5 linked regions of the Oryza sativa Japonica Group genome follow. The main gene of each other region encodes a partner of the protein of the gene in region 5 in a complex. Links are inferred from orthologs where the notes say so. Each region holds a gene or a part of one and is shown on either strand. Other genes may lie near its edges.

Region 1 (3,734 bases), about 3.5 Mb from region 5:
CCGAGCTGACTCAAATGGCTCGGCATTTTCAGTTCAGAACTTCAGGTTGGGCCATTGACAAGGGAGTTTGGATGGAAGCTGAAAGAAAGGATGATACAATTGTGAGCTTGTGACTACTTAACTCAAATGTAGTTGGTACATAGACGTTACATGTTGGGGAATTGGGGATGTTAGGTTTCCTAATTACGCCGATTAAGAGAAGATATTCATGTATAGATGGGGGCGGGTTAGTGGATAAGTTAGTTCAACAGAACGTTACCGATCATGGTTCATGAAGGAAATTGTTATATATCAGGTTTTTCATACTTTGTGCAGACATTACTGCTCTTGCATCTTGAATTTCTCTCCGTCTCCTGAAGTTTTACCATGTAGTACTACCAACTGTTTCAGCAGTCTGAACAGATGCTGCTGGTTGTTGGGTGTATATATGCTCTGATTGTGTATTATAGAACACCAGAATGCACGGTGATGTATCATTTTTTTTACCACGGCTGTGCTGTGGTGGTGTATCGAAGTAATACATGCCTCTACTTGTTAACGTGCGAGTCAGTGCATCTTGTTTTCAGTGGCGATTAAGATAGGATTAGCACTGATCCAAGAGCGACCCAGCAGTTAAGTGGTCTTGTCCTACTCGTTATCGTCTCATCGATCGTTGGAGCACTCAGCTCGAAATGCAGTGAACCACCGCGAGAATAGCCGCTAGAGATGCGCGCGAATCTGGCACGGAGCGCGCGGCCGAGCCGAGCCGAGCCCATCCCACAGTGCACGGGGTTGAGTGCCTCGTCGTCTCCACTTCGTTGCCGATCTCTACTCGTCAACGCGCGCGAGGGACTCGACGTGCAACCGATCCCTAGGCGATCGCTCTGCTAGACTGCTACGTTCGAGCTCGTGCATATGCGCCTGGTTTTGTGCGATGGATTGGAGGATTAACGTTGACGCAAGAGCCATCTTGGGATCGAGTTTAATTTAATTTTACTAGTGCTCCATTCGACGGGAAACGTGCCAGTAGGAGGCAATGGGGATGAGATTGATGAATTTTCATATGGCAGTATGAGGCAATGGTAGATCCGCAAGCTGCATAGCTCGTGTAATTAGTAAACCATGCTGGTAGATTTGTAGTCTGCTTTTGTGCTAGTGAAGCAGTCAGTCAGGTAACTCTCGGGTGTGGAACGGAGGGAAGATTAACGTGCCACGCTGCTGCAGGCTGCAGCTGTTCTCCCCTTTCTTTTACAGGACCATCCAAATCCATTAAACGAAAATCACACATTATTACAGTTCGTACAACGAAAATCACTCCATTTCCTTGTGTGTGTCAGATCGCTGCCAGCCAATTGTCAAGTGCCAACGGCTGAACGACACACTACGGGCATTACGGGCCGCGCGCGCGGAGTTCAGCTTGAGAGGCGTACAACGCCTTAGCCCATTACGAAATCGCGATGCATATGGTACGACGAAAGCCTGGTAGCCCACGCAGGAAAACCGGCAAAACGCGTCTCAGACGAGGCCCAAACAGTACGCCTGATCCTTTCGGCCCAGTGAACAGCACGGCGCCGCAAGCTTTGGCCCATCTAATGCTCTTCCTGCCTGCCGCGGCGCCCTCGCCGTTGCCCTCCCGCACCAGGCACCACCAACCAATCTCCTCGTCTCCCACTCGGCCACATGCCCCACATCCCACCGAAATCTGGAAAAATCTCCACGCTCCCAACCCCGCTTCGCCTTCGCCCCGGTGGCCGCAGCCGCGCGGCGCCACTGCCCCCCAACCAGCCAAACTCCCCCACCTCACGGCACTGCACCCGCAAAAATCTCAGCTCCCACCCGCCGCGCCGCGCCGCGCCGCGCTGCTCCCCCAACCAAATCCCTTCTCCATGGCATCCGCCGTTTCGCTCCTCCTCCTCTCGTCCCCGCGCCCGCTCCGCCGCGCGGCGCCGGTGCCAGCGCTACGCTCCCAGGCGCGCCACCCCTTGCTCCTCGGCCACGCGGGCGAGACCGCGCTCGGGGTATGGGCCACGCGCGCCCGCCTGCCCGCGCCGCCGCCGCGCGCCTCCAACCCGAACAACGACAACGACAACAGCGGCGCCGTGGAGGCGCCCGACCGCCTGGTGGCCGCCGTCGCCTACCTCTACCCGTTCCTCGACGGCGTGCACCACGGCCGCTTCCTCCTCGCGCAGTTCCCGCTCTTCAGCACCCTGCTCAGCCCGCTCGCGCCGGCCGCGCGCCTCTTCCGCTCCTCCCCGCTCACGCCCTTCCTCCTCTTCCTCACCCTCTACTTCGCCGTCGTGCGCAACCAGCAGGCCTTCTCCCGCTTCGTCCGCTTCAACGCCATGCAGGCCGTCGCGCTCGACGTGCTGCTCATCTTCCCCGACCTCCTCGTGCAGTCCTTCGCGCCCTCCACCGGTGGCGGGATCGGCTTCGAGCTCTTCCAGAGTATGGAGAGCACCGTGTTCCTCTTCCTGCTCGTCTGCCTAGTCTACGGCGGGGGCGCGTGCCTGCTAGGGAAGACGCCGCGGCTGCCAATCGTCGCAGATGCAGCCGAGCGCCAGGTGATGTGATGAGCTTTTGTCAAATCTTGCTGGTGAAAAGGAACAAAGGAAAATGATATACACATCCATCTCGATGCCTCATTGATGTTAGTAGATCGCAAATTCACAAGTTCAGTTTAGTACAGTGATTATTTACAGCTGTAGTAACCAATTTAATGAATGGAGTTACGGAAGGTTGGTACAATGGCATTACAAAATTTACAATCAAGTGTATGAACGAATGAGTTGAATTGGGAATTTTTAGAGATAGCAATACATATACTCGCTATAGAATATGGAATTCTGGACTACATTTACAGATGATGAATGAGAAATTGGGGAGTGTCCTCAAGACCTCCCCTGAAGGAGCTTCAATGGTATATGAATGGATGCTTAGGTTAGTTAATTGTTGTTGCAATATAAATAAAATAATTGCATCAATTGGGGATTGTGGTTGCTGCTACCAAGTTATTGTCTGAACTTGATGATGTCTGAATTTTCTAGTTTGGAGAAAAAGTTCTAGCTTTTATTGCACCGCCTCTTGGTTATTTGGATGGGCTCTTCATCTTCATTGATCTGTGATGTGAAGTCAGGACAAAGGTACAAAATAATTATTAAGCAGACGATCTATATGTTCAAACATCATGAATAAATCAACTTTGTAAAGCTCTATACCTTTGAGTTGTCACTAGTATTATCTCTTGCTCGTTTGGCCAGGTTGATCTCTACAGCTATATTAGCTTGAGATGGATCTAGTCCTGACTTTTTAAGAGCTTCTGTCAATCTGTTGAATAATCTGTTGCAAATTGAAGTAGTATCCTGTTAGTTACATATTGTGCTAACTTTAGTCTTGAAGTAACAAATGGTTAAGGAACAGACCCTTGAGAGTAAGCGCTAGAAATACTATGGTTTTCATCGTGAAGGGTCTGTTTCTCATGCTTGTTCGGCATTTTGTTGCCTGGTTCAGACTCTTGGCGCATTGTTGACATGCTCAGCCATGGTGGCTGATTGCTGGGTGTGCTGTTCTCTGCGTTTAAAAGACATTAAAGTTAGTGGATCTAGTTCTTAATTACAAGAATTCTGACTGTTGAAAGGTGATAAGAAATGGACTTACTTTCCAAATTTTGTGGTGTGCCTGTTGCCATGTGGGAGGAACTGGTGGTTGTACTGGTTACACTCTGTGTGTTGAAGAGAGCAGGTTGTGCTGCCGATATG
Region 2 (4,836 bases), on a different chromosome or scaffold from region 5:
GGAGCCTCAACCTGTGGTTCGCGTGGTGGAAGGCGCGCGCCGGGGTGCGCGCCGCCGACGCCAACCGCGACGGCGCCGTCGCCGGCGACGACGAGGTCGCCACGCTCTTCGCCTTCGCGCAGAGGCACCTCAACGTCAAGATCGCCGAGCTCGGCGCCTCCTACTACTGAATTAATTAACCTCCCTCTCTCTCATACTGTGATCGACAAGTGTGCGTGATCAGGATCGATGTACGTACGTAACTGTGTGAGATTGCGCGCTGTGCTGTGTATGTTTGTGTTTTTGCACATCTTTTGTGTTGACTTGATTTTGGTCTCGGAGATTCCACTCTCTATTTTTACTCTCGTTTCATCGATCACTGCGGGATTTGGAGAAATTATGTGTGATCTTTGTCGATCTCTTTAGGCCCCAATTTAAACTGACCATCGATAGCTTACTAACAAAGGGGAATTCAATTGGTGTTTGGTAAAGGCTATACTAGTATAGATTTTTAGAGGTTAAAAAAGTAAGATAATATCTAAAACGCAATCGATGATTGAGAAAATGGTTACTTACACTAATCATTAGTTAATAGGGCCAAGATAATTTAGGCACCACAATGGACAATTTAATGATTTGGCACTTTATTAGTCCGCAGTACTTTAATTGTATTGGTATTTATAAGGATGCTATATAATATCATAATGAGTCAATGATAATAATGGCTAAGTATGTTTGCGAAAGCGCATGTAGCATAGTTGTTACAAGAGTCTCAGTAGCACCTTAGGTCCTGGGTTTGACTCCCCATGGAAGCAAACTTTTCAGCATTTAACGGCTTTGTGCTTTCAGTGGTAGGCGACGTACCCGTCGACAACGAGGCGCCCGTGGTGATTTCGTCAATCTCCAGGATGCATTTGCCGGCCCAGTCTTCGAAGATGCTCATAGGGGTAAGGTTTGCGTGCGTGCGTTCATACTCATTTGAACAGTCCTCATATTTGCCTCATCTGTAAAGCTACTTGCTGGATCTGAGGGCTTTCAAGGAGACTGATTAATTTGTTTGGACTGAAAAACAACAACCGTTGGATGGTAGATGGACAGTGCACGCACATGATGTTACGTTGTAGCTCGATCCGATCCACGTCCCGTCCTCTTCCTTTGCACGCTGGCCAGCACATGATGTGTAGAGGTAGAGAGACGGTAGTCACCCACTTACCCTTAGATCTCTGTTTTTCTGAGGGCTTTTCAAGAAGTAGACTGATTAATTTGGGCTTTTTAAGAAGGAGACTGATTAATTTGTTTGGACTGAAGGCAAGAGAAACAACAGCCATTGGATGATAGATGGACAGTGCACGCACCTGACGTTACGTCGTAGCTCGATCCGATCCACGTCCCCTCCTCTTCCTTTGTGCTCCCTCCCCGTGCCGCCTGTGCCTCCACGACGATGAGGTGCCAATGCGGCAAGCAATTGGACCTCCACCTAAGCAAGGCAAGCCGCGCTGGCCAGCACATGATACGTAGAGGTACAGAGACGGTAGTCACCCACTCACCCTTGGATCTCTGTTCTTCCCCAGACAGCGTGCGCGGAGTTGAAAAATTTAGGGGCGAATAATTCCAATTCTATTGGTGATGCTCTTAGAAGCTAATTTCATCCTCCATATTGTAAGTTGTAACTAAACATATTTTCACTGAAAAAAATTGATAATTGAGCTTAACATATTTTCACTGAAAAAAAAAATGATAATGGATTGGCCGAAGCAAAACCCCCCGACCAAACCCAACCAAGGCCACACCAGTTGCAGTGCAGCACGACTCCACGAGGCCAGACGGTGCGGCTCGACCGAATCCGCACGCCGCCCGCGGCCCGCTCCTCGGCGACGCCGAGCAACACGACACCTCCGCGCGCCGCCATCCAAGTCGTCCGTCGCGTCGCGTGCCGAAAACCCAGCAGCAACCAGCCAACCACGATGCCGCCGCCGCCGCCGAACTCCTCCTCCTCCTCCTCCTCCTCCTCCTCCCTCCCGCTCGCCGCCGCCCCGATGTCCAACCCGTCGGCCCCCTCCTCCTCCTCCTCCTCCTCGTCGCTGCCCCCCAACCCCCTCGCCGCGGCCTCCTCCTTCCTCCACCACCACCTCTCCCGCCTCGCGTCCCGCTTCGCCGCGCCGCCGCGCCCAGCCCTCGCTGCTGTGACGGCGTCGGCGGCGCCCCCGGGGCCGCAGGGCGCCTCCGCCTCCCTCTCCCTCGCGCTCGCGCCCGACGAGGTCGCGCGCGCGCTCACCGGCACCCCCGTCTTCACCGTCTGCAACTCCAGCAACGAGTTCGTGCTCGTCTCCGACCCCGCCACCGGCCTCCGCTCCCTCGGCCTCCTCTGCTTCCGCTCCGAGGACGCCGACGCTCTCCTCACCCACGTATCCTCATCTTCCCATCTGTTATGCCTTTTGCTGTTTGATTTGTTCTTTTCGCCCTAATGGTTTGGGAGTTTGTGTGGTTTAGGTGAGGATGCGGCAGCCGGTGGTAGGGAGAGGGGCAAAAGTGGTGCCGATTACGCTTGATCAGGTGGGATTAAATCGATATTTTGTGATCAATTTTGTCATCACTCTTCTAGGACCAACTCTGCATAGGAAGAGTTATGGAGCATTTGGGTTTATGCAAGAGTTAAATAGGGACATACAGTTGTATGATAATTTAGTAACTGAATGACATATTAACGAGTAGCAAAGTGGGACCTGGATTTCTTCCAAGAGCAAATCAAGGAAAGCTGCCGTTTCTTATGTGCTGCCCCTTTTACCTAGCTTAGTCTATCTTTTCTTACAACACCCATGCTTTTCTTGCATATTCATGCTTGAGGGTTCTTGGGCTTAGGCTAGCCTCGTTGCAACTTCACTCGTTTCTACTTCATTCAATACAACTAGTATATTGCTTACATTTAACTATGCTGATTATTTTTTATGTTTTACAATGTAAATATACCTTAAGCCGTCCTTCTAAATGCAGGTTTACATGTTGAAGGCTGAAGGTATTGCATTTCGGTTCTTACCTGACCCTCTTCAAATTAAGAATGCGTTGGAGGTTAGTTCTTCTCTGGATTTGTGGCTCTTTGCTCCATCTTATCTATAAGTGGATATGTTTAGTACGCCCATCTGGCCATCATTCTATCTCACTAGAAAAGTGGAATTCAGTTCCTCAGGTTGACAGCATTACTCCTTAAAAGCATCAATGCAGCCATTGCATCTTCCAAAATTCCAATGGACTCCTTATATACCAATTTTACTCCCATTTAATGTTTTTAACTATTTACCAACAGTCCGAGATCTTTGCAGTTTGGGTATGTGTGTACCTATTTTCTGTATCACCACTCAAGACTTTACACATGGACTTGGTTCCTTGTATATATTATTGGTAGAGAAGTTGTACTGTCACTAATCATTGCCTTCACCAGAATGCACAAATGATATGCATACACTAGACAGATGCACGCAGAACACATGGAGTGCTGTCACATGTCAGCCTATTTCATAAGGAGAAAGTCCCTTCCTTGCAAAAGAAAAAAAAACATATGGGAAGGTGGCATTTTAAAATATAGATAATCTGTATTGTTTTTCCTGTTTCTTGGTGTGGACTGTCCACATTCAGTGGTTAGACTTCAGAGTATATCATGGAATGTACAACTCATGCCTTTTCACTCATGAATCATGAGTATATCAGAGCTGACGTCTTAACAGTGTATAGTATGTAGATTATTGCTATCTTATGCATTGTTTCACTAATGTAAGAATGCTAACAAACTTACTTCAGCCCAGTGACGATTATCCTTCGTTTTTTCAGTTAAAATCTGGCTTAACTGCTTTTGATGGTGTTCCTGTTTTCCAGGTAATACTCATGTCTGTATTATTTACTGAAAAATATACTTTTATGGAAAGCATTGAGACATACCCTTTGCGATTATTAAATGTATTTTAGAATATTAACAATAAATGTATTAAAGTTGATTTGCTGATTAATATCTTGACTCAGTATAAATTACTCGTGAACTTAATATTACCAAAGTGCATGGACTAATAGGTAGGTTCTGAAGCTATCTGCTTGTTCCTGTTAGTTATTAGCCCATGCCTATTTATTAAATGTAAATGCATGAACTGTCCTGTCATAATTTCTCGTTATTTGTCACATGTGTGCATCATTTTGTGAAGCTTTAGCCTTATCTTATTGGCACGACTTGTTGTACTAAAATAGGACTAGAAGATAAACGGATAGTCAAAAATTTTCAATTGAAAGTTTAGGCGTGCAGTAGTCTAAACCTTTTCATGGAATATCAGATCTTCTGATGTTTCGATTGTCATAGAACAAGGGAAGCCCTGATTTTCTTATCAAGGAAAAAACTGAAGTACACAGCTTTAGGTCCATCAACGCAGTTGGTTACATGTTTATTGCAGTATGACATGAAAAATCACGTGGAATAAAAGCATCATGGCAGGAGAGAATGCTTAACTTTCTTCCGGAGATGCTTGAACACTTTGTTTCAAGATATTGTGCCATTATATGTATGATTTTCCAATTATTCAGTTGTTTGCAGCACTGGACTTGTGAATTTGACAGGCTGATAGCTGTTTTTGATTATCATAGCGTTCTATCCTAAGTACAGACTATTTAAGACATTAAGTGATATATTCAGCATTTGGTGATTTATTCTTTCCAATAGCAATAATGTCCCATTTGAATGTGCAGTCAGACCTATTGGTTGTTAAGAAACAGAAGAAGCGTTACTGTCCGATATATTTTCAAAAGGTTTGCCAGGCTTCAATTTCTTTCATGTAGTTTACCCGGTCTGATTTAGGTCTTCACCATTTTCGCCTTCTTAGC
Region 3 (4,106 bases), on a different chromosome or scaffold from region 5:
CATCGTTACTAATTGTATTGGTACCAGTTATTCTTTATGCATTATAATACTTGTCTCATTTGGTAGCTAATACTGCTGCTTTGATATGTATTTGTTCATCTTCAACAAGCTACTTTTAGTAAATCACACTTACTGATGGGATTCTAACTAACTGATTCAAACGTGTTGCCCTTGTCAGCTGGAAGCACCGAAGAAGAAGGCCAAGTTGGCCGCGAAGAGGATACGGAAGATGCAAGAAGAAGAGAAGCGGTTACAAGAGAGGGAATTTGAAATGGCTTTCTTCAGGGAATTTTGGCCCGATAATGTGTAGAACAGGAGGTTAACCTTGCTGGGCGGTTCGACCTGCTGGCTTCAGCTTATTAGGCTCCCTTGTACAGAACAACAGCTTTGACTCCCTTGTTGTATGTGGCTAAAATGTTTACATTGATTCAATGGATGTTTCTGGAGAGAATGCTGGTCTTGTATCATGATTTTGTTGTATAGAACTGTTTGCAATGCTGTTACATGCTGGCCGAATACCTTTTTTTTTTGTTACCAAACTGGCAGAGTACATTCACTTTACAGTCATAAAAGGAAAAATTTTCATCCATAATCGCCCACCCCCACCCCGTTTTTTTTTTCCCAAAGTGGCCGCGTTTATTTTTGAAGTCATAAAAGGAGAAAGTTCCATCCATAACCTGAGGAATTGGAATTTGAAATCCCATCGCATAGCATTTGGTGTGTGGTGTACACACTCAGTTTGATAATGTAAACTGAAAGAAAAATTGCTGAAACATATTGGCTACAATGACCCATACAAAGGGACACATATCATATGCTGCAGTTGAGCTACAACAAAATCGGATTTTATGACTGAGGTAGCAGTGGCGACTGTGATACATAATGAAAAGGGGAAGAAAAAAAATACAAAAAAAAAAGCTCTCGCTATGGTCTGAAAATGAAAAATGCAGCAAAAGAGATTTGTCACCAAATTCGGTGCCAATTTCTGTCTATACAAACAGTTAACGCACGTCAGGATTATGCGTTGCTTCTCAAAACCATATGCCAGCGCCTAGCTACAATAGCAGCGGTTGGCGCCACAGCACCAAGTATGGTAGGTCCTCAACTCTGCTGGCTACCTAACAAAAAAAGACCTTCACATCTCCCTCCCTAGAATACCAATTCATCCTCCTCTTCAGTTGCAACGGATAGTGTGCCTGCCGATGCGGCATCCCGAATCTGGCCGGCCTTCTCGTCGCTTATGCCAAGCAGATACTGCAACCTTGACAGCTTTTCAGGCTTCGGAATGCTCTTCATGTAAATGCCGTACAGATCATCCAGCTCTCCTGATGTAGGCCATGATAGGGGCTTCGAAGCAGGCACAGCCGCGTCGCATGCAAGCAAGTCGTTCAAGGATGCGACCTGCATTGGCAATATATTCCAAGTAAAAATTAGAACGCTGAGTAATTCTAACAGTGCAGTTATTGTAACTTTCCTATTTATACTCTAGTTGAATTTCTTTTGTCATTATGACGTGCCAGTTATCAAGAATAGGTTAATCCTGATATACACCAAGATCAAAGTCAACGCTAAATCAGTACTTTGATAACTGTAGTCAGTGTTTTAATCTTTCAGATTCTTGGAGAAACTAAGTTCCAACATAAAACAAATAAGTAGGAGATATGCAGGGATATTCCTTACGTACCACTTCATCTTTCTTCTTCTGCCGAAGCAGAGCAACAGCTTGGACAAGGGCGTTATCCAACCTAATCTTCGCAATGTCCTGGACAATCGACTTGGCCTTCTCAGCATTAATGATGAGATCAGCTGGGATCTTTACATACACTTCCTCTTCATCAAATTCACCTGTGCCTGACGAAAAGATCTCCTCAACGGATTTTTTGTAAATGTTTTCTCGAAGTGGTTCTGCAATCAAGCTGTCCAATTGAAAATTTGCTTCTTTCAATCCTCGGACCTGCTGTATACCAATCTGTCCTCGAGAAATAGAGGCTTCAATTGCAGAAGACAACTTTGTTGTTGTGATATTCTTGATTATTTTCTGTGCATACTCAGTAGGAAGACCAACTTGCTTCTGTATCTTTGCAAGCTGGTCAGCCTTGGCCTCTGTTAACTTCCCATCAGCAAGAATCACTTCAGCCTGTTGCACAAATGCCTTTTCTGCCATCTTAATGTGAACATTCTGAGCTTCCTTGCGGGTTAAACCAAGTATGTCTCCTAATTGCTTCAGCATTAAATACTCTGAATTATCTTTCTTTGTGGAGATTGCTGTTCCAAATGAAACATTGGTCGTCTCCCCAGTGACACAGAACACCAAATATGTTTCATACAGCTCAGCTCTGTCTCTCAATGGAATGTCATCTTTGAGGGTTATCTCTTTCTGGCTTGACTTTGCCAGTTTCTCTCTGAGCTCTTTATCAGGCCTAGTTTTCCTTAATGTCTCCAGCTGTTCCCATTCGTATTCATCATCCCCCTCAGACTCGCTGACTTCAGGTTCTGAGGTTGCATCTGATGTTTGAGGTTCAGCAGTTGTTGGTTCTCCTTTAATGTCAGCTAAAAGCTCACTCACAACTACTGTGTTGAAGGATATCATCTTTTTCAGCTCTTTTGCAGTTTCAATGCGGTTCCCAGCTGCTTTTGCTCTCTGAATGTAGTTCAGGAATAACTTCCGTACCTGGTCATGGATTTGGTAATATAGAAGTGAATTTCATTCACAGTAGGAATATATTGAAAAATAATATCATCTAGCACTTTTTTTTGGTAATGGGGATTAACATACCACTTTGCTGAAAATGGCCATGACAGACTCGTTTTTCAAATTCAGACCTTGTGCTGCCTTCTTAACAGCCTGTCGTCTATTAGTGTCATATCCATCAACAGATGAAATTGCTTCCACGACAACCTGCAAAGCACTAACGGTTGTAAGAACACCACTAACACAGAACAGGCCATCAACTTTGCCTGAACAAGGGAAATATAGAACAGGCAACATAGAATATTTCATATCACCTTTTCAAACAACTTGCCACAGATTTCTGAATGGACAGCATCAACAGTTTCTTGTGGAATGCAGAGACGCACTTGGAATGCCATCAAAGCTTCCACTTCGTCCTTGTTCAGCTCTCCATCCGCTACAAACTGCTGAAGCTTCTGCCTGTAAATGTCTGGAGTTCGAAGGAGCATAATATGAGTGGGTATTAACAATATATCAAGGAAAGCAACCAGGAGAGAACATCTCGAAAAAAGCATGTTTGCCAACTAATATTTAATAGAGATAATCCAAGAAATGCCATTGACAAGCATCCAAATCCCAGAAATGCCATCAACAAGTGTGAGTTCCAAGAAATGCCATCGTACAAATGACTTTGTCCCAAAAATGCCATCGCCGTTAGGGTTCCGTCCATTCCGCGCCATTAAGTTCTATAGGACGAACAGTGTATTTTACAGCGCAGAATGGAACAGAACCCTAACGGCGATGGCATTTTTGGGACAAAATCATTTGTAGGATGGCATTTCTTGGAACTCACACTTGTCGATAGCATTTCTGGGACTTTGATGCTTTATTAAAGCATGTGATGATGTACCTTAAGATGGAATGGTGAGGAATATCTTATCTTACAAATAGTAATGCTGTTTAACATGAACATAGAGACAAATAGTACTTCTAGTCCCACCACATTTGTCTTATTTCTTTTCTATTGGATATCCATTCCTAATCATGAGAAGCAATACAGCCCAGATGAACCAAAATGCAGACAACTGAATTGCTACAGATGTACTTCCTACATACGGTCTAGGATAACAATTCAGCAGTGTCAACATAGAGCTGATGGTGTATAGTGATTTTCTGCACAGAGCCATCAGGTGAAAACCAGTTCTCCGTTCAATAAATGACTAGGCAGTCGAGCTAAGCACAGGTATGCTGTGAAAATTATAGTGTAACAAGAGAAGGTGTCAAGAAGGTACCTTCATGCATCTTACTAGCAAGTTCCGGATCAAACTGTAACTCTTCACAGATATTTTGGAGGAATGCTGCTTTGCTAGGGGCCGCAGCCAACTCACTATTAAATGATTTAGCAAGTCTCTTTCTGTATACTTGAGCTTTGACA
Region 4 (4,914 bases), on a different chromosome or scaffold from region 5:
CACAAGCAACCTTTCGGGAATCTGAAATATGTTTGTTGATCACCAAATTAATGCAATAGTTTTGTTTATCTCCAAATCAGATACTCCCTCCATCTCATAATATAAGGCGCGCATGCATTTGAAGTTTCAACATTTCAAACATTTGACCAACACTTAGTATAATATAAAATGAATTTTATTTGTTAAAAATTATACCATTAGATCGAGATTTAAATTTACATTCATATGGTTATAATTTTGTTACTACAAACCTTATGGTATATGAGAAATTATAAGCTAAACATTCGTTTTGAAGACCGTGCCAACTTTGACCGCGCCTTATATTATGGGATAGAGGGAGTATTTGCTAAGATAAAATTACTTCTAATGGTTCACAACAAAAAATTCTTTTGGCTCACTGTAACTGATTACGTTTCCTTCGTCTATTTTTGTACAGGTTACTAAGAAGAAAGACTTGAGTGATTTTTACTTTGGTCTTAGTAAGAATGTTGCTTTCGGTGCACAGACACATGACAATACAAAACATGCTAAACCTGAAAAGTTAGACGAGAAAGTTCAAGATGCTAAAACTAGCAAGGTTGGTGCTGAAGTATCCGATCGCTCTCCTAAGCACAAAAGGGACTCCGGTGAAGGAGCAGAGACGGCCAATGAAAGTAGAAGTGTGGAAGAACCTGCTACAACTCAATCAAGGGATTCAGCTGCTGCTAGATCTACCGAGAAAAATGCAGATGTTTCCTTGGATGCTCCTCAGACCCAGACACCAGAAAATACCCAACCAGCTCCTCAGACCCAGAATCCACAGAATACTCAACCAGCACAGATCACGGATGAACACTATAAGAGAAATGCTGATGCACTTGCTGCTGCCAGAGAAAGAGCTCTGGCGCGGAAGAAAGCCAAAGCGCAGCAGATATGAAGTACGAGGCAGAGATACTCACCGAGTTTTTTCTTATAGGCTAAGGTCATCATATTCTTGTTTGAGGTTTCGGGAAGACTGTAAAATGATGGATGGTTTCACCCTTCTAGCATTTCCAGGAGATAATCCCCTTGGTTTGATCTGCATGATGCTCTACCTTGCTTGATCAAAATATATGTGCAGGCAACCCTTCAACGTTAGAATATCTCGTTCGGCTTTTCTGAACATTTGTTCTGCTGTAAGATGGGAAATAACTTAGCACAGTGAACTGAAGGTTGTATGCATATGTTCTCATTCATGTATACCGTTGTACTTTTGTAACTTGAGTGATTGAACGCGATATGATTTCTGCAATGGCACAAATTACTACTACTAGTTACACTCCATTCCATGGTGAACGGGATTACTTTAATTTTCTCTCTTCTCTCAAATTCAGAACCAAAACATTGAACTTTGTCAGTTAATAACAAGGCATAAAAGTTGTTTATTCGACTTTACTGGATTTCCCTTTTCATTTTTTGAACTGGCCCGAATTGCATTTTGAGATATTCGAATTTTGAAACATCGCATCTTAATTAGTAGTAGTATTATTTTTTTTCATCAGTGGTTAAATGTTGCTGTCTGCAATTAGTGCCTGAAATGAGCCGCTGACAGTCTGAAACTCTGAATGTCCCGATAGCGATGGATACTAGCCCCACGCAGCGGAAGGCGATGACTCCCCTCCGTTTCAGCTTCCTATCACTCACCGCAGGGGTAAAAGGGGGAACGTAGCCTACACAACACGAGCCCGAGGTCTCTCGTCGACTCACGCGCGCACCCACCCACCCAAAACCCTAGCGCGAGTGGGGAGGGGCGAGGGGGTGGTAGTTGTAGTAGCAGCAGCAGTAGAGCTAAGCTAGGGTTTTCCCTCCCCCCGCGCGCGCAGCAGGCGGCATGGAGAGCCTGGTCCTCGCCTCCTCCTGCTCCGCTTCTCCCCGCCTGCCTCCCCTCTCCGCGGCCCGCCGCCGCCGCCCCTCCTCGCAGACTCTCCCGGCGACGGCTGCGGCGTCCGGGCGGAGGGGAGCTGGGAGGTCCAAGCTCGTCGTCGTCGCCGCCGCCGCCGCCGCGGCCCGCGGGTCCGGGAACGGTGAGGGGGGTGGTGTGCTTCTGTGTGGGTGTGCTTCCGTTTTAGGTTTGTTCGTTAGATGCGAGCCGGATGCGCTCTTTGGGTAGGTGCGCGCTGAAAGCTCTCGTATGCGCTCGCTTCAAGTGTCCGTGCTATAGTGTTTTTTTTTGTGGGATTGTCAGGAATTTTATTATACTCTGTGTATCAGCTGGATCCATCGCTGTGCCATGGGCTTCGTTAGTGGAATTGAGTGTGTTATCCTTGCGAATTTAGTGACCTTAAGTCATGCATCCGTGATGGAATACTGTCTTTATTTTCGTAGTATGGTGGCAGTTGGTGAGTTAGTAATGGCCACCTTATCCAGTATTGGTAGTGTGGCAAATGATGAGTACAAAATGGTCAGCATATCTGTCCTTGTTTGTAGTAATAGCCGACGAATAGACAATCCCAATCAGCTTAGGATTTCCCCCATTTTAATCTTATGCTGCCGGAGGATCTCCATTATTCTGATTGTTTAGTTGTAACAACAGGTTTCGAGGGATTAAAGACAAATGGATTTGCAAGCATGTCGTCTTCGACCAACAGTGAGAATATGTCAACTGGAACGGGTTCCCTACCTCCCATGCCACCCCCATCGTCATACATGTGCGCCAGTTTCCCTTCTTTTGTCTGGCTACAATTTTCTCAACTTACACTGCATGATGACATGTAAATCCTTTGTGCAGCGGTTCGCCTGTTTTCTGGATTGGAGTTGGTGTAGCATTGTCCGCAGCATTTTCTATGGTGTGAATACAATTACCTGTAATGCTTTTTTGTGATTAAATGTTCTTAGAGTTGTATTTTAATACTTGGTGTTGGCTGTTATATCAGGTCTCTTCGATGGTAAAGGTGAGTTCACAACTTTCCTCTGTTTCTACATCTTCAAATGGTATGTACCCTATCAATTGCATACTTGATCTTGAGAATGACCCATGGTCACCTCTGCATACTAGTACATAAGCAAGAGAGGTATTTTAGTGAGCTTTTTTTGTGATGAACCTACATACCCACATGTGAGCCATGCCTTCCTTTCTAGTTCTTAATAGTTTGAAGCAATGCATGGCATATGTTCTAGCAAAGGTGGTACTGTTGCAGTGTACTCCCTCCGTACTCGTAAAGGAAGATGTTAGGACAATGTTTAAGTCAAACCTTGGGAATATAAATCATGAATAACTCTCAAGTTGTTGAGTTTGAAAATGTAAAAATTATATGAATAGATTTGTCTTGAAAAATACTTTCATAAAAGTATACATATATCACTTTTCAATAAATATTTTTATAGAAACAAGAAGTCAAAGTTGTGTTTTGGAGACCGTGTCGCTGTCCAGAACGACTTCCTTTACGAGTACAGAGGGAGTATTGTAGTTTTGTTAGACAATTCATTTTCTTATCACATAATTTCTAGTTCTTTTCAATATTGATAAAATAGCATAATATCCATGCATTGTGATGGATGTCAAAACAATTTGGTGTACTCCCTCCGATTCCATAATTCTTGACGTTTTGGACAAGGTTGAGGTCAAATTTTTATAACTTTGACTACCAATAACTTTAAAAATATTTAGTTTAAAGGTACTAGAACAGCATATTTAGATTTGTCTTATAAAGTACAATAATAAAAGTAAAAATATATATATTTATTATATATTATAATAGAAAAACATAGTCAAAGATATATTTTGAAGACCGTGTCATTGTCCAAAACATCAAGAATTATGGAGCCGGAGGGAGTACTCACTAAGATCAAATTTTTTTATATATAAAAGACTAAAGGAAGTCCTCTAATGTAAATTCTGCATGTAAAATATGATCATATCACCTCACCCAGCTTCAAAATATTGGCATGTAAAATAGTGCAATATTTTACAAAAAAAACCTATAAGTAACACACATGTATACATAAATTCACCCATAAAAGATCCAAAGTGAGGATGATACAGCATCATCACTTCCACTAGTTCTTTTAATTACTAGAGAGTTAACATTGTTGCACCACTTCTTTTCTCGAAAGTATATCGTGATGTATCCATTGTTGCACTGATTTAATTAATACAATGTTCTCTTTGTAGGTTTGATCTGTATAATGTCTTGTTGGAACTTAAAATCGTATAACTCTCCCTTGCTTGCCAGTTTTGACACATTGCTAATTCTGATGCAGAAATATGCAATGCAACAAGCATTCAAGTCAATGATGACCCAGGCACCGCCAAACACTTTTGGCTCAAACTCGCCTTTCCCATTTGCCATGCCACCACAGGCAGCTCCTGCAGCTCCTAGCAGTTACCCATACTCACAACCAAGGAAAGATACCTCTCCTCAATCTGCAACTGTCGATGTTTCAGCTACTAAAGTGGAAGCAACTGGAACTTTGGAAGAGGCTGATGTGGCTGAACAGCCAAAGAAGAAATTTGGTATTGGCCGTTTATCTCTGAGAATTCTTCTCCAACTATCAGTGAATAGGGGATGGAGCTTGTGATTAGTGTCTAATCTTATGTTTTCTTCATACTTTTGTCATGCATATCTCATGTTATTGTAACAAAATGTTTGCAGCCTTTGTTGACGTTTCTCCTGAAGAGTTGCAGCAAAAGGAACTTCAATCTTCACTGGAGACAGTGGATGTAAAAAGTGAGAGTAAACAGAGTGAAACTATGGAGGATACTGAGCAAAAAGTAAGTTGCATGAAGAAGCTTTGTAATAGGCTCCAAGTACAATTCAACTAATCATTTTCAATGATCTTCATAGGCTCCAACAAATGGAACTGCTTTTAAGATGAATGAAGGTTCTGCTAGCGGGACAACTGAATCTAGTAAGTACTATTATCATTAGCACATTTTTATTATTCACATTTAGTTTT
Region 5 (4,291 bases):
GCCTGCCACTGCACAGTGAACCCATTTTACTACTTCATCGTTTGACAAGTCACACGGATGAATGGATGATCGCATTGCCGGACTAGTCCTGCCAATGCCCTACCTTTTTTCAAGCCCCTGAGCGAATGCAATTCGTGCTCATGAGTCATGAGTGCCACTTTTACTACTAGTAGTAGGATAGGTTAACATACAAATTCTGATACATGGCCTAGGCAGGATTACCATTGATCTATTAACTTTCAACTGAAATCATAAGCTACTAAGAGCAAGTTCAAATAGTATAGCAAACTACCAGCTCTAATTTATCTATAGTCAATCTAATAGCTTATTTATATAATAGTTACATACTACACTATTAATACCTGGTCCCACATATCATACACACACGGCGTCTTGGAGTCCGTGCTACGGCTGGCTACAAATCTATAGCCCACTGCTCTTCTCTCTCCTTATTTATCTTCTTAAAATATGTTTACAGCTGACTTATAGCCTACTATTATACCTACTCTAATAGCGTAGTGATGATTAATTCCTGAGCTACACATGCCACTTAGTTATATAACTAGAGATATGCAACCAATACCAATCAAAGAAGTACAAGGTAGCTATTTACACCCGTTAATCAAATTCAGTCATATATAAATCGAACGGTTAGATTGTATGCATAACAATCTATTATATTGTTAAAGGAACAGAAAAAGAAGTCTCCACGTTCGCTCTCATGGCCTAGAAATTCTCACATTAATCGGAGAAAAAGAAAAGGCAGAATCCATATAGAAATACAATTTAAAAATAGCTGAAATTCAGAATTAAAAAATAAGGAATATTAGAAGAGGAGACTAGAGTCTATATAGAAATACAATTTAGAAATAGTTGAAATTCGGAATTAAAAAATAAGGAATATTAGAAGAGGAGACTAGAGTCCATATAGAAATACAATTAGGAAATAACTGAAATTCGGAATTAAAAATAAGGAATATTAGAAGTAGAGTATAGAGTCCATATAGAAATACAATTAGGAAATAATAGAAATTCGGAATTAAAAATAAGAAATATTAGAAGTAGAGTATAGAGTCTGTATAGAAATACAATTAAGAAAAAAAAATAGAAATTCAGAATTTAAAAAAATAAGGAATATTAGAAGTAGAGTATAGAATCCATATAGGAATTTAAAACTAACTAAAATTCAGAATAAACATAATAAAATTAAAAGTAGAGTTTAGAGTTCGTATAAAAATATAATTTACAAATAACTAAATTTCAAAATTAAGAAAAATATGGGACGAAGAGTTTAAAGTCAATATAGGAATACAATTTAGAAGTAACTGAAATTTGAAATTAAAAATTAAAAAATATTGAAAGATGAGTTTAGAGTCCAAATAGAAATACAATTATAAATAATAAAAATTCAGAATTCAAAAAAAATAAATATTAAAAGACGAGTCTAGAGTCCATATAGGAATATATATAATTTATAAATAACTAAAATTTGATATTAAAAATAATTAATAACTAACATGTATATAAAATACAATATGAATATTACACATTAGTAGTTTCGTAAAGTTATAGCAAAATTTAAAATTATGTTGTCATTTTAATATATTTGAATAATATAATGAGAGAATATATATGCTATTATATGAGAGAAAATATAATGATGCTAGCCGCGCAATATTGCGTGGGCCACCATGCTAGTTTTATTAATTCCTTCCAGGTAGCTGTCAAAGGAGTAGTGTGTAGTGTCGTGTGGAATTCGCGAGGATGTGCATGAACTTGCCAAGGCAGGGATGCAGTTGCGTGACAAGGACACACGTGAAATGTAGCGAGAGAAGAGTCGTAGTAGCGGGCGCGACCGCGGGAGTGTATACGGAGAGATGAAGCGAGCTCTCTCCACCAAGCAAATCGCGAGCCAAACCAAGAAGACATCCACATGACGACGCCTCGCGCCACCACCACCACGTCGCCCTTCTCCTCTCTCCTCCTCCTCCCGATCTCCCCCTCCGCCGCGACTCCTCCGCGCCGCGCCAGGACGCCGCCGCCGGCGGTGGCACATGGCGGCGTGCGGTGGACGGCTGGCGGGAGGCGGCGACGGCGAGGGTGCCGGGCGGCGGCGGCGGTGGTCGAGGACGGCGTGCTTCTCCCCAAAGAACAGGAGGACGACGCGTCGGCGGCGAGATACGACTGGAGGGAGGAGTGGTACCCGCTGTACCTCGCCAAGGAGGTGCCCGACGACGCCGCGCTGCCGCTCACGGTGTTCGACCGGCAGCTGGTGCTGTACCGCGACGCCGCCGGCGTGCTCCGCTGCCACGAGGATCGGTGCCCGCACAGGCTAGCCAAGCTATCCGAGGGCCAGCTCGTGGATGGCAAGCTGGAGTGCCTGTACCACGGGTGGCAGTTCGACGGCGAGGGCAAGTGCGTCAAGATCCCGCAGCTCCCCGACGGCGCCAAGATCCCGCGCAACGCGTGCGCGCGCAGCTACGAGGTGCGGGACTCGCAGGGCGTGGTGTGGGCGTGGATGTCGGGGACCAACCCGCCGGACGAGCGGAAGCTGCCGTGGTTCGAGCCGTACGCGCGGCCGGGGTTCACCGACCTGTCCACGGTGCACGAGCTCCCCTACGACCACTCCATCCTCCTCGAGAACCTCATGGATCCCGCGCACGTCCCCATCTCCCACGACCGCACCGACTGGACGGCGAAGCGGGAGGACGCGCAGCCGCTCTTCTTCGAGGTCACCGAGCGGACGCCGCGCGGGTTCGCCGGATACTGGGGGAAGCAAAGGACGCCACACCTTCGCAACCTGCTCCGGTTCGAGGCGCCGTGCGTGCTTACCAACACGCTGGAGTTCGTCGACAAGGACGGCAAGGAGCAGTGCTTCTCGGCGCACTTCCTCTGCCGCCCCGCGGGGCAGGGGAAGTCGATGCTGCTCGTTCGGTTCGGATCCACCCAGACGTCGCCGCTGGTGAAGGTGCTCCCGAGGTGGTACTTCCACCAGAACGCGTGCAAGGTGTTCGAGCAGGACATGGGGTTCCTGTCGTCGCAGAACGAGGTGCTGCTCCGGGAGAAGGTGCCGACCAAGGAGCTCTACCTCAACCTCCGGTCGTCGGACACGTGGGTGGCGGAGTACCGGAGGTGGATGGACAGGGCGGGGCACGGCATGCCGTACTACTTCGGGCACAGCACGCTGTCGCCGCCGCCGGTGCCGGCCGTTGTCGAGCAGGCGCCGGCGGGGGCGGTCGCCGGGATGTCCGCGTCGTTCCCGGCCAAGGGCGGCGTCGGCGCCACGCACGCGCCCAACCCGACCAACAGGTACTTCCGCCATGTCGTGCACTGCAAGGGGTGCAGGGACAGCGTCAAGAGGTACGCCTCGCTCAAGAACGCCTTCGCCGCGCTCGCCGCGGCGGCGGTGGCGGCGGCCATCCTGGCGGCGACCAGGCAATTGAAGGCCGTCCTGCTGGCGTCCGCGGCCGCGCTCGCCGCGGCGTCGTACGCGTGTAACTGGGTGCTGTCTCTCATCACGACCAATTTTATTAGGACACACAGGAGACTGTAACCGTGGCAATGGCTGTCATGCTTTGGCACATACTAATAGCAAGGTAGAATGGTACAGCTATTTCATTATTTTTGCCCTTGTATATTTGTATCACTACATGAGTAAACGACGTTTAGTTATCGATAGTTTTGTTATGAGTGATGAATGATCTGCATCGTACTGCCAATGCCTTGCATTCTCAAATGGTTGCACACTTGCACTCATACAAAGTTAGTACACTCCATCATATTATAAATTACTTTTTTTTCAAGTTAAATTTCCTGAAAGTTTGATAAAATTTATAGAAAAAATATAACGACGCTTATAACACTAAATTAATTTCATTACATCTAACATTAAACATATTTTGATTTTTTTTTGTTTTGTGTTAAATATATTACTATGTTTTTCTATAAACTTGATTAAACATATAAAAGTTTAACTTCAAAAAAAAGTTAAAATGACTTGTAATATAAAACGTAGGCAGTACAATGCGAATGTAGGGTACTCCATCCAGCTGAGGTAAACCAACTCCAATATATATACAAACACAAACAACGTACCCAATTTTTACTGTTAAAATACAGGCACAATGCCTGGTATCACACGTTATTAAGTAGACAGACTCGATAACCATGACACGGACAGGGACTTCTTGCCACTGGTTTACGCACGGTTAATATTACAGACCACACATAGAGAGACGGCTTAGCTATTTGCAAATAAGCTTGACAAGATAGATGATGCTCCAAAAGGATG

The links.
Region 1: protein TIC 55, chloroplastic (region 5) and protein TIC 20-v, chloroplastic share a complex: the UniProt entries of both Arabidopsis thaliana proteins name them as parts of the tic complex. The link is inferred for Oryza sativa Japonica Group from reciprocal best matches to the Arabidopsis thaliana genes TIC55-II and Tic20-V.
Region 2: protein TIC 55, chloroplastic (region 5) and protein TIC 22, chloroplastic share a complex: the UniProt entries of both Arabidopsis thaliana proteins name them as parts of the tic complex. The link is inferred for Oryza sativa Japonica Group from reciprocal best matches to the Arabidopsis thaliana genes TIC55-II and Tic22-IV.
Region 3: protein TIC 55, chloroplastic (region 5) and protein TIC110, chloroplastic share a complex: the UniProt entries of both Arabidopsis thaliana proteins name them as parts of the tic complex. The link is inferred for Oryza sativa Japonica Group from reciprocal best matches to the Arabidopsis thaliana genes TIC55-II and TIC110.
Region 4: protein TIC 55, chloroplastic (region 5) and protein TIC 40, chloroplastic share a complex: the UniProt entries of both Arabidopsis thaliana proteins name them as parts of the tic complex. The link is inferred for Oryza sativa Japonica Group from reciprocal best matches to the Arabidopsis thaliana genes TIC55-II and TIC40.

What each region holds. Positions count from the first base shown.
Region 1 is NC_089036.1:30,721,903-30,725,636, forward strand, and holds protein TIC 20-v, chloroplastic, read left to right. Parts: upstream 1-1,642; 5' UTR 1,643-1,865; coding exon 1,866-2,549; 3' UTR 2,550-2,960; downstream 2,961-3,734. Other genes in the region: transcription factor BIM2, read right to left, coding at 3,039-3,095, 3,195-3,315, 3,399-3,546, 3,634-3,734. UniProt on the Arabidopsis thaliana protein: May be involved in protein precursor import into chloroplasts. Not redundant with TIC20-I, TIC20-II or TIC20-IV.
Region 2 is NC_089040.1:5,941,181-5,946,016, reverse strand, and holds the start of protein TIC 22, chloroplastic, read left to right. Parts: upstream 1-1,765; 5' UTR 1,766-1,943; coding exon 1,944-2,384; intron 2,385-2,469; coding exon 2,470-2,532; intron 2,533-2,970; coding exon 2,971-3,045; intron 3,046-3,801; coding exon 3,802-3,846; intron 3,847-4,701; coding exon 4,702-4,761; intron 4,762-4,810; coding exon of another isoform or gene 4,811-4,836. Other genes in the region: uncharacterized protein, read left to right, coding at 1-170. UniProt on the Arabidopsis thaliana protein: Involved in protein precursor import into chloroplasts. Imported into the intermembrane space via the Toc translocon. May be involved in the import pathway used by proteins without a cleavable N-terminal pre-sequence.
Region 3 is NC_089044.1:19,356,503-19,360,608, forward strand, and holds the end of protein TIC110, chloroplastic, read right to left. Parts: coding exon 3,964-4,106; intron 3,162-3,963; coding exon 3,007-3,161; intron 2,900-3,006; coding exon 2,777-2,899; intron 2,672-2,776; coding exon 1,685-2,671; intron 1,402-1,684; coding exon 1,150-1,401; 3' UTR 816-1,149; downstream 1-815. Other genes in the region: uncharacterized protein, read left to right, coding at 179-310. UniProt on the Arabidopsis thaliana protein: Involved in protein precursor import into chloroplasts. Forms a voltage-dependent cation-selective channel at the inner envelope of chloroplasts, which specifically responds to a transit peptide.
Region 4 is NC_089038.1:22,289,707-22,294,620, reverse strand, and holds the start of protein TIC 40, chloroplastic, read left to right. Parts: upstream 1-1,770; 5' UTR 1,771-1,849; coding exon 1,850-2,042; intron 2,043-2,551; coding exon 2,552-2,666; intron 2,667-2,746; coding exon 2,747-2,804; intron 2,805-2,891; coding exon 2,892-2,909; intron 2,910-4,218; coding exon 4,219-4,471; intron 4,472-4,610; coding exon 4,611-4,729; intron 4,730-4,802; coding exon 4,803-4,866; intron 4,867-4,914. Other genes in the region: uncharacterized protein, read left to right, coding at 437-916. UniProt on the Arabidopsis thaliana protein: Involved in protein precursor import into chloroplasts. Part of the motor complex consisting of a co-chaperone (TIC40) and a chaperone (HSP93) associated with the import channel (TIC110).
Region 5 is NC_089036.1:34,182,876-34,187,166, forward strand, and holds protein TIC 55, chloroplastic, read left to right. Parts: upstream 1-1,839; 5' UTR 1,840-1,933; coding exon 1,934-3,553; 3' UTR 3,554-3,678; downstream 3,679-4,291. UniProt on the Arabidopsis thaliana protein: Involved in protein precursor import into chloroplasts. Part of the redox regulon consisting of TIC32, TIC 55 and TIC62.